3 linked regions of the Kluyveromyces lactis genome follow. The protein of the gene in region 2 interacts with the protein of the main gene of each other region in a pairwise test. Links are inferred from orthologs where the notes say so. Each region holds a gene or a part of one and is shown on either strand. Other genes may lie near its edges.

Region 1 (3,957 bases), on a different chromosome or scaffold from region 2:
ATGATGACCCTTTTTTCTTTTATATTAATGACGCTGACGAATTGAACTATTTGAAAATGCTAGGAGTGAACGTATCCCCCGAGAAAATTGAAGAAATCTTGATAGAATTTCGGGCACAAGTGCTAGCATTAGATACTATCAATACCTTAGAAAGGCAGCAAAATTATCTTTCTGCTGAAGAATCACTTTCTGCTCTCCTTTATAAAGAAGCACAACGACCACCACTGAAGACTAATAGTTACAAACATTTGTTCAAGAAAATCCTTATATTCTGGCGTAAACACCAATATGCGATGAATACAGACATATCTCTAGTAGATTCATCGGTAACTTCTTGTTCATCTTCCATTTTTCCACAAAGAGTACAAACGATACAGCATGAAGGATCGTTTTTCAGTCTCACGAATAGTCTCATATCACCAAATAAAAGGAAAAAGACGTGGTTTATACAAGGACATTTGAAAAAGCTTTTCAAGCTACAATGAACAACCAAAAAAAAACTGTAACTCAAGTTTAAGCGTTTGATATAGTAATGTTTTTACTTAAATATCTCTATCTTATAGGTTATCAAGTTCGAATGAATCGTCATCAGTGTTAGGCACCTTTGTATAACCAGATTTGTTTTTTGCTGGTTTGTCCGCAGTAGAGGGTGCCTCGTCAATGGATAACTTAAAATCATCGCCCTGGTTTTCTATGTCATCTGCCCATGCAACGGATTTGTTTGATGAAGGTGGCCTATTTTCCGGATCTATTAGAATAGCATGTATTTGCTTTCTGAAACGTTCACGCAAGAAATAATATGCAATGGTACCGGTAATTGAGAAAACGACCAGAAGTATGACAGCGATTTCGAATTTATCAGAGTTCCGGTGTCTATCCTTGTGCGAGTTCTCATCTTCATCTTGTTTTTGATCAGCTGACAATTCCTCTTCTCCTGTTGAGTGGTCCGAGTGTACAACGAAGTCTTTTGAGATAATAACATCATCTTGATTGTCTTTTCCGACTACTAACTCTACATCTTTCAAATAGATGTCCATAATACCTCTGCTGATTAAAGCATTATCGTAAGGGACCATATGCGATGCGTTGTACACGGAAACATACGTCAAATTACTTTCGTGCTTCACAAAACCTGCAGAAATTGTGTCATCTGTAAACTGGTCGTAGTATTGCCAGTCATAGTATTCGGCATCATTAGTAAATCCGGTATGATTGTTCCATTTCATATTTTTAATCAAATCCTGCACACCCCTTGAGTTGCAAATGATATCCTTATCACCATTGAACAAGAAAATTTGCATGTGTTTCAATAGATTGGGTAACAAATGAATCGAAGGCTGGGTGTTCTTGTTCTTCAAATGACTGCTCACCTTACTGTCACATTCTCTCCAATGTGGGACTTTATCAACATCCAAATGTAACGAATCCATCACACCTGGCTTACCCAAGAATTTAGAAACGCTAGGTAAATCATCTGGCCAGTTGCTTCCACAAGCTGGGTAGGAATCGAATAATCTAAAATCATATATGTTCGTACACTCCTGATTTGAAGGAACTTTATTCCCATTTTCATCTGTCTTTCTGCGGGTGTAATAAAGGATTTTGGTCAAAATATCTTCACATTCATCAAAGGAGAACTTTTTACCTCCATTATTATTGACTAAATTTTGACAACGACTATGCATATTTAATAAATCAGGGAAGTAATCAGCCTTCGTTGAAATTAAGTTATTCTCCAAAGCAAAAGGAATGTAAGATAAGGATTGTTGATCAGGATCAATCCAACCATTTCCAATCAACAGACTCTTTAAATTGTACTTCTTACCACTTCGGCTTTCCTCCTCATTGTCGTCTTTGTCCAATTTCGAGTTGAACTTTAGGATTTCATTAGCAAAGAATGGAATATACTGACCAGCATACGATTCTCCTGCCAAAACAAGGTCTTTATCCAAATCATCAGGGAAAATCTTGAAGTAGTTCTTTAAAAACTTCATGAAATGCTTTGAAACTTGGTTCAAATCTTTATCATATTTCGAATCACCTACCGTGGAAAAGCCAGTACCAGCAGGTTGATCCACAAACACAATATCACCTCTAGTGTGCCAAGAACCCGGATTTAAATAGGCTTCGCCGTCGTCATCGATCCGTAACGCACCTGATTCCATAAGAGCCCCATCTAAAGATGAGCATCCAGGCCCACCATTTAACCATATAATTAAAGTTTTGGATGCGACGACAGACGTCTGATTTGCGAGGTCATGGAACTTCCAAAAGAAATAGTTTTTCTCATCATCATCATCATCATCATCACCATCATCTAAGGGAATATGACCTGCATGCATTTCCGGGATAAGTTCCTTATCTTTAACGTCATTTAACCCAGGCAACAAATCGGGGGCCACTAAATAGTCCTTGGCATTTGGAAGACCTCCCAATGCACATTGAATGAGAAGAACCGTTTGAACAAAGAAAAGCCAAAGAGACATGACAGCACTCTAATTATATTCTAATGATTGTTGTGATTCATCCATGAAACCTTACTGTTAATATCAGCAAGAGAGAAATGATAAAAAAGAGAATAAAAAATATCGAGCGAGAGTCACAGCGCAACCTTTTATAACACAAATACGGCCCTATAAATGTCTAACAAACTGAAATAAACAGCGAGGTCTGAACCAAATAGGCGTTTTTAACGTTGATTCACCCCAGCAAAACCATATTCCTAAGTAATTTCATTTTTACCAAGCCTTTATTTAGCTTTAATATACACGAAACTTTCAAAACTGGCACTGGCAGTATATCCCTCCATTGAAAAAGAAAATCTATGTAAGCAAAAAACAGTCACGTGATATATATATATCGCGTGACTAATACCAAAAGCCTGTTAACATGAAAACCTGTCAACGACAAAAGGAAATACATGGGTCACAATTTCCGTGGTAAGAAGTCACATAATAGGCCCTGAGTCATGGATCGAACTCTCCAATACCGCAACTACCCCATAGTTACCGCAACTAACCGTACTTTACCGTAGTTGAAAAAAGAAAACGAAACACCGACAGGGCAAAAAGTCAAACCAGGAAACCCAATGCCTAAAATAACAAAGACATTTGCCTCGGAAATAACAGCATCACTAACCGTTACTTACCGCGATGCTGACCACTGCATGGCATATTCTCATTGACACCTTAATTACAGAAATCAACTTAAAACTAGAAACCCTGTGAAGAATAGTCACAAGATCTAAAGATATTACGATGTAAAGATGTAGCCATTCCAGTCGTTATCGTTAAGTGACAACCTTTATCTCGAGCACTTTATTTTTTTCCCTCTATTATCAGTCTTACGCAGTATGCTCTCTCTAAAACTTAAAAGTCTGTACCTAATTGCAGTCAAATTTCTCCAAAGTTACTTTTTCAGCTGGAATTTTTTTTTTCAATTTCAGTTGAGAAATTTACCAGTATGGTATATGCTGTAGTGAATCATACAGTATTCCTCATGTATATGTTAATATGTGTATATATAAGCAGCTGCGAGATGAAAAGATAGAATAGACATTCGCGTTATGAAGGATTAGTTTGTGCAGTTTACACAGTTAGATTTGGTTTATACACTGTTTGTAATTCTTATATACTTTAGATATATTATCTTGGCTTAGCATCAAACCAATCTAAATTGAACCAAAAGCTTTCACCGAGAATACATATTACATCATGACTCAAGGTGTTGCTAAGGATTTTTCACACTTGTACAGTGATGAGACTAAAAGTCGTATGCCTTCTCAATTGAAGTCAATTATACATTATTTCAATGATCCAAACTTGATCTTTTTGGGTGGTGGTTTACCAATGTCTGATTACTTCCCATGGGATAACTTGACTGTGGAATCTCCTCTACCACCTTTCTCCAACGGTATCGGTGCCAAACCATCTGGGGATGATGCCGATACTTGTCAGA
Region 2 (4,091 bases):
TGAAATAGACCTTCCAAACTGGGTACCAACAACATATTTCGCATTGAACTTGGTTTTCATGAAATTTTGGAAACATCGATCGAGGTCTGCAAGGCACATAGAGTAATAGTCAGCCAACGAAAGTCTACATTGAGGAGATATGCTGACAGCTAGAGATCGTTCATCTAGTTCTTCCAATTCGCTCCATTTTTCTAAGAACACCTTATGGCTTTGCTTCGATAATAAAATCTCTTCTGATGAAGTAATGCAACCAGCACAGGCTAAACAGTCTTGCAAACTGATCGATACCTTCTCAGGCTCACTAGATTCAATGCCAACTTCAACTTCAAATGATGGTTTCTTCTCAACCTTTTGAGGTTGAGCTGGTTTCACACACGCCAAACCTGGGCTTATAAAATCGTTCAAATCGGCATCCCTAAGTAACGCACTCATTGTTTCTTTCTATCTTAAAGATCCTCGAAAAAGAAGCTAAGCAGTAGTAGTGTTTTCAAATAAAATAGTCCTTAGTATGCAACTTGAATCGTTTTTGGCTTTGTATTCTGAACGTTCTTATATGGGCTTCTCTTATGCTACTCTGAGTCCATCACAATGAAATCACTTACTAATAAATCCTCTGTCTCAGTTTCTCTTATAATTTCTTTTGAATTGACTAATCAATATGTCAACATCGCAAGTGTCATGAATAACATATTCTCATTCACGTGACTAAAACTTGATAAAGATACCCGCCTTTGATTTTGTTTACGGCAGAAACTGAGAACAATTATTCTCACCGCCGACATGCTTTCGGTTTGGATTTCTGCTTTAGCATTGAGGTTGAAAATTATATTATTAGATCAGTGCCAAAACTGTGATGTTTTATTATGAACTGAGACATCAGTCGAAAAAGTGGACATAAGAAAGAGATATAGTGAAAGAAATACAAATAAACCCTGCACTTGGCTTTGCTAGAGGTTAAACATAGAAGACCTGTTAACGATTAGGTACGTTTAGAAGACTTTCTTATCGAATCGGGTTGCTCTTTCATGTGTTACACGTCTTTTATACAGCATAAAAATAAAGGCCATTCCAAAAAGTTGTACAATACTAAGGGTCTAGTACAGCTAGACAAATTAGGTGCAATCTCTAAATCAGGATATCAGCTCTACGCCGGGCAAGTCATTGAATAAGATTTTCCACTTACTTATTACCTTTTTCCCTTAATATTCCTTAATTTTCAGAACGATAGTTATGATCCTATCGTCGCAGCTCATGCTAGCTTTAATAGCAGTGTCAGGATACGGTAAAGCAATGCAAGTTCCTAAAAAAGACCACGAAAATAGGCAGTATTTTGCAATTGAATCTTATGATGATGTAGGTAATCTACTAGCGGAACACAGTGACTGGAGTTTCGAGCACGATGTTCGAGGCCTTGCCAATCACTATGTGTTCTCGAAACCGTTGCAGAGTTTGGGTAAACGAGATGCGATTGACACAGGATATTCAGAAAACATCATTGATTTCCACGATCTACCCCCCGTTCAGTTACACAAAAGATTGCCTATTGGGGATTCTAGTATGGAACAAATCCAGAACGCTAGAATTCTTTTCAATATTTCTGATCCATTGTTTGATCAGCAGTGGCACTTGATCAATCCAAACTACCCTGGAAATGACGTTAACGTAACTGGTTTATGGAAAGAAAACATCACTGGCTATGGTGTAGTGGCAGCATTGGTGGATGATGGATTGGATTATGAGAACGAAGATTTAAAAGACAATTTCTGTGTTGAAGGTTCTTGGGATTTTAATGACAACAACCCATTGCCGAAGCCAAGGCTAAAAGATGATTACCATGGTACCCGCTGCGCAGGTGAAATAGCGGCTTTCCGTAATGATATTTGTGGGGTTGGTGTCGCCTATAACTCTAAGGTATCCGGTATCAGAATTTTGTCAGGCCAGATCACAGCCGAAGATGAGGCTGCTTCATTAATTTATGGACTAGACGTTAATGATATTTACTCTTGCTCGTGGGGTCCATCTGATGACGGTAAAACTATGCAAGCGCCGGATACATTAGTAAAAAAGGCAATCATAAAAGGTGTAACAGAAGGACGAGATGCAAAAGGTGCACTATATGTATTTGCGAGTGGGAATGGTGGTATGTTTGGCGACAGCTGCAACTTTGACGGCTACACAAACTCTATATTTTCTATCACTGTAGGTGCCATTGATTGGAAGGGCCTACATCCTCCATATTCTGAATCATGTTCTGCTGTAATGGTTGTTACTTATTCTTCGGGATCAGGAAATTACATAAAAACAACAGATTTAGACGAAAAATGTTCCAATACGCATGGAGGCACTTCAGCTGCAGCTCCTCTTGCAGCTGGTATATATACTTTAGTGCTGGAAGCTAACCCGAACTTAACATGGCGAGATGTACAATACCTCTCAATATTGAGCTCTGAGGAAATAAATCCGCACGATGGAAAGTGGCAGGATACAGCTATGGGAAAGCGTTATTCTCACACATATGGATTTGGAAAACTTGATGCATATAACATTGTCCATATGGCAAAAAGTTGGATCAATGTAAACCCACAAGGTTGGCTTTACCTTCCTACAATCGTTGAAAAACAGTCTATCAGTAATTCAGATGAAGTTATAGAATCCACAGTCTCAGTTTCTGCTGAAGAGTTTAAACAAAATAACCTAAAAAGGTTGGAACATGTCACTGTAACTGTCGATATAGACGCACCTTACCGTGGACATGTCTTAGTAGATCTAATATCGCCTGATGGAGTTACATCTACCTTAGCGACAGCTAGACGTTTAGATAAAAACCGCTATGGTTTTCAAAATTGGACTTTCATGTCTGTCGCGCACTGGGGCTCTAGTGGAGTTGGAAGCTGGAAATTAAAAGTAAAGTCTACGCATGATAATGAAATTGTAACACTCAAATCTTGGAGATTAAAGATGTTTGGAGAAACTATCGATGCAAAGAAGGCCAAAGTGATATCATATGGAAATGACAAAGAGGATGCTGAAGTTAAGAGTACCGAATCTAAAACCACAACTCCCACTGCACAAACTTCGTCATTCACGACGACTTCTGGAGAAGAAACATCTGGTGCAAATAAGTTGCCTCGTCCCGAACAGGCTGCCCAGTTATACTTGGCAATTTTTGTCATTGGTGCGATAGTCATCATAATTTACTATTTGTTTTTCTTAAAATCAAGAAGAATAATCAGAAGGTCTAGAGCAGAAGCTTATGAATTTGATATCATTGATACCGACTCAGAATACGATTCTTCGATTAATCAAACTGCAGAGTCTATATCTGGTGAAGTAAATGATGATAACCTTGAAGACTTTAACTTCGACATAAATGAAGAAGAGCTCTCACCCCGTGAAAGTTCAAGCAATAATCCTTTCGGGAATGAATCTCTGGAATCTTTCGACAATTCTCCTGATCATACAAGCAATTTACTAGGGCAAAACTCGATTCCCAACAAATAGAAAGACATAGCATAACCAGTTCATAAGAGATAAATCTCAAAATACTGACGTTTTCATATAGAAAGATAGGTTTTTAGCCTCGAAGTCATATCGCTTGATGTCCAATGATACAAAATGAGCTAAAATGGATGGAATTGTTGCATCATCAACATACTGTAGGCGAATCTAGGATTCATTTTCAATCATGAAATAAGAAGTAACAATTTCCGCATTCTCAAAAAAATGAATCAGAAGTGGAACATAAAAAAAAACATGTAAAACTAGCATAGTTTAAGGTGATTATAGTTAATGGGATATAAAGGATTCTGACATGTAGTTCATTAACAGGGACAGTTCCGACTCACGATTTCACTGCAACGATTAAAAGGAACTCATTCAATTGTGATTAGGGTTAAGGATCTATTATCTCAGTTATCAACTACTTCTATTTTGACGTCGTCCAAGAGTTTAGGGTGGAAGGGTGTAATGACAATGTCTCGTAACTATCTGTGTCTTTTGACCTGCATGTCTCTGGCGGCTGCAATGAATATGGATGATATAGAGGAATATACAAGACCTGAAATTAACGCAGCAGGTAGCAAAACCTTCCA
Region 3 (3,257 bases), on a different chromosome or scaffold from region 2:
TGAAATGTTACTTAGAGTGTTAGATTCCCATGTTGTGGTAGAATATATATTGATCCCAGAAACAAAGAAATCCACCCTTTGTCAAAGTCACAGGCAATACACACTGAGTGAGACATTAAACCTGCTGTGTGCACAGATATTATAGTTATGAAGTGAAATCTTTGATTTTGTATAACAGCGGCATGTACATCGGGTTTTCACTGAGTGAAGCTGAAGTTAGAAACAAGTGAACCGCTTTCGGTGTTTATTGTAATATATACTGTCCCGCTACCCCAGATTTTGGTGATCATATCTTTATTTTTTGCTCATTTTTTTTTGGCCGAATTGAAGGACTTTTCGAATTTAAGTACAAAAGGGAACATTGTATTCAAACAAACGACAGAATATGCCAAAAAGAAATATGTAAGTAATCATGCAGCAGCCCACATTGACATGCCGTCACCTTTAAAAACAGTCAATACTTGTTATAATCCAACGTAATGTGTTATATTACAACAGCAATTTCTAAATAGTATATAGTATTTCTCTTAAGTAACTTTTCCAAATGGAGCAACTGCGTACGCAAGAAAATGATTCGTTTACATGCAACTTTGAAGAATAATAGCTAACTATTTCATCACTGATAACCTTGAGCAGGCGAATTAGAATCTAACAGGAGGCTAGAGCTATTGTGAGTATCCGATGAAGCTCTCGGAATATCAGGCAAGTTTTTGGTAGTGGAAGATGAGTTCCAGCCACTCGTGGATGATTGAGATTTGAGTGCAAGAGACTTTTCAATAATAGATAATCTTTTGTTCATTCTCCTTCTTTGTAGACTGACAGGCAAAAATGGAATATATCCATGTTTCTCTTCGAGCATCATTAGCTTTATAACAGCGATAACAATTAACCAGTACATAATATAACTGCTAACTGAACCATAGGTAGCTGAGTTAGTCCATCCAAAAATGGCGGTCAAAATCATCCAAAATCCATCCCTTTCACCGTTACAACAGTTAACATGCCATACCGAACGCGAGATATCATAAGAACCTGGACCGTTTCCAACTTCGCTCATATCTTGACCGTTACAAGCATCAACATACTTCTGAAGTTCAAACTGCCATACACCCTTGGAGAATAATCCGCCGGCAATAAGATATAGGAAACATGTTGTTACCACAAGGCAAATTTGCAATGAAAACGACTTTGAGTATTTGAAGAAGAATACACCGAAAATTGCCGAGATCGCCGTAGCAGAAAGCATCGATAGTGGAATAGAGGTTAATGGACTATCGATACCGATACCACCAATGAAGACGACAGCCTCTAGCCCTTCTCTCAAAGAAGTAACAAATGGTAGGATGAATAATGAGTATTTCTCGCTGAAACTTTTAGCTTTGCTTTCGCCATTTTCCATCGGAAGTAATTTGTCTGAGTAAATGATGGATGCCAATTTAACTCTGAACTTCTCTCTAAGTTTACCCATTCTTAAGAAGAACAATCCCATAACTGAAATGATGACAGACGCAATAACGCTTAAAACACCTTCATAATAATGTTCACTCATAGACCACAAATCCGTGCCAACATAATAAAATGCCACAATAAATCCACCACCAATAAACATACATGCCAAAAGGCCTAACAAACCTCCAGAAATGATTTGAAGTTTTAGTTTTTTATATAACTGCTGGTTATCAACTTCTAGACCTAGATTTGGAGAATCGGAGTCATTAACTCTCAATAATAAATCTGAAGCTTCTTCCTCTTGAATGGTAACCGGGGCAGCATTTTTTGAAGACTCTGTATCGGATTCAGCGGTGGTATCATGCGAGAATAAGGCTTGTTTGACGATTGTCAACAAGATGGAAACGATTATGATGATCTCTAACGACTCTCTCAAGAAGATGAAAAAAATTTGAAACGAGAAATAATTCTCAAAACTTGACTTTGACATCTTGAATAAAAGATCCTTTATACTAGCTTATAAGTTTCGTCGCTTACGTGGATGTTGTCAACCAGAACCAGTTTATAGCCCGTTATCAAATTTCTATAATGATTCAATCTCAAATGTAATAATAGTATTTCTTTCCAGTCTTCAATTGTATTTTTTGCACCCCATTCAAGAGCCAGGACAAAAACGACCTTGATCACGTGATACAATCGTTCTCCCGGGTAATGAAGATACGTTAAACTTAACAATAGGTTGGTACTGCATATTAACATACAGTCGTGAAACATTCTAGAATATCGGACAGTTTCAATCCGTTTCACTACTGCTTATACCTTAATATCATATTCTGCCAGGTGTTTTTCGCTGGAACAAAGATAGAAGCAGTCGAGTAGTATGTATTCTAATGCGAATTGCATTAGATGCTTATATGTCACATTATATATACACAACATTCATAAAACATTTAAGAGCTGGAAAATCCAATGCTACCCTAACTTGAGTATTTACACAATACGTTAGGAGCACTTATTCGAATAGTTTTATTTTAGCGTAGAGCTTTTTCCATGACTCATTAACTGAACCTTTTCCAACTTGTGTAAATGTTTGACGGAGAATGCAAACAGATATGCCATTAGAATAACCCCCAATGTCGATACCACGGGGAATCCAACGTTACCTTCCTCTATAAAGTTCTCTAAGTTCATACCGTAGATTGAGGCAATAAAAATAGAACCGGCTAACGAGAGTAAACCAATACTGAAACGCAATCCAAGTAACATCAATTGATTTCTATTTGAATCAAGAATGATATTGATTATTTCTTCTGTAGTTTTGATATTGGACATTGTATTTCCTACAGTTTGAACAATTTCATCGACATGATTGTAATAAGTTTCTAAAAGCATTTCAATTTCTGCATGATCATGCTCTTCTCTAGGCTTCCCTAATTGTTTCTCAGTCAAGTACATTTCACACAAGACATCATCTTGCTCTAATAGTTCTTCAATCATTTCTCTCATCAAGAAAGATTTTTTGTGAAAGACGCTAAGTTTCTTATTTTGAATCAAAAGATACCGTAGCTTATCTCTAGTAATACTATATTCTAAGTCTTGCAAAATACCCGTTGAAACATTCAGGTGAACCTTGAGCTCTGCGTTAAGGTTAGATATAGCCGAAATAAAAATGGACTCTACTGCTCTAAACTCGTAAGGCAAAGGATCTTTATTCACAACATCTGGTACCTCAAAACCGCTTCTATTTTGTAATCTCAGTTGTAAATCCGCAATGAAATTCTGTTGAGAAACCGAATCCAATTTTATAC

Evidence for each region.
Region 1: the proteins of KEX2 (region 2) and KEX1 interact in binary tests that used the Saccharomyces cerevisiae proteins (3 or more experiments, as listed by UniProt). The link is inferred for Kluyveromyces lactis from reciprocal best matches to the Saccharomyces cerevisiae genes KEX2 and KEX1.
Region 3: the proteins of KEX2 (region 2) and FTH1 interact in a protein complementation assay, tested with the Saccharomyces cerevisiae proteins (2 studies listed by BioGRID). The link is inferred for Kluyveromyces lactis from reciprocal best matches to the Saccharomyces cerevisiae genes KEX2 and FTH1.

Annotation. Positions count from the first base shown.
Region 1 is NC_006042.1:922,856-926,812, forward strand, and holds KEX1 (serine-type carboxypeptidase), read right to left. Parts: upstream 2,487-3,957; coding exon 558-2,486; downstream 1-557. Other genes in the region: KLLA0_F09977g (uncharacterized protein), read left to right, coding at 1-485; ARO8 (bifunctional 2-aminoadipate transaminase/aromatic-amino-acid:2-oxoglutarate transaminase), read left to right, coding at 3,714-3,957.
Region 2 is NC_006040.1:1,671,748-1,675,838, reverse strand, and holds KEX2 (kexin KEX2), read left to right. Parts: upstream 1-1,230; coding exon 1,231-3,501; downstream 3,502-4,091. Other genes in the region: iron-sulfur cluster assembly protein NAR1, read right to left, coding at 1-432; YTP1 (Ytp1p), read left to right, coding at 3,967-4,091.
Region 3 is NC_006042.1:2,588,685-2,591,941, reverse strand, and holds FTH1 (Fth1p), read right to left. Parts: upstream 1,940-3,257; coding exon 617-1,939; downstream 1-616. Other genes in the region: MFM1 (Mfm1p), read right to left, coding at 2,476-3,257. UniProt on the Saccharomyces cerevisiae protein: High affinity iron transporter probably involved in transport of intravacuolar stores of iron.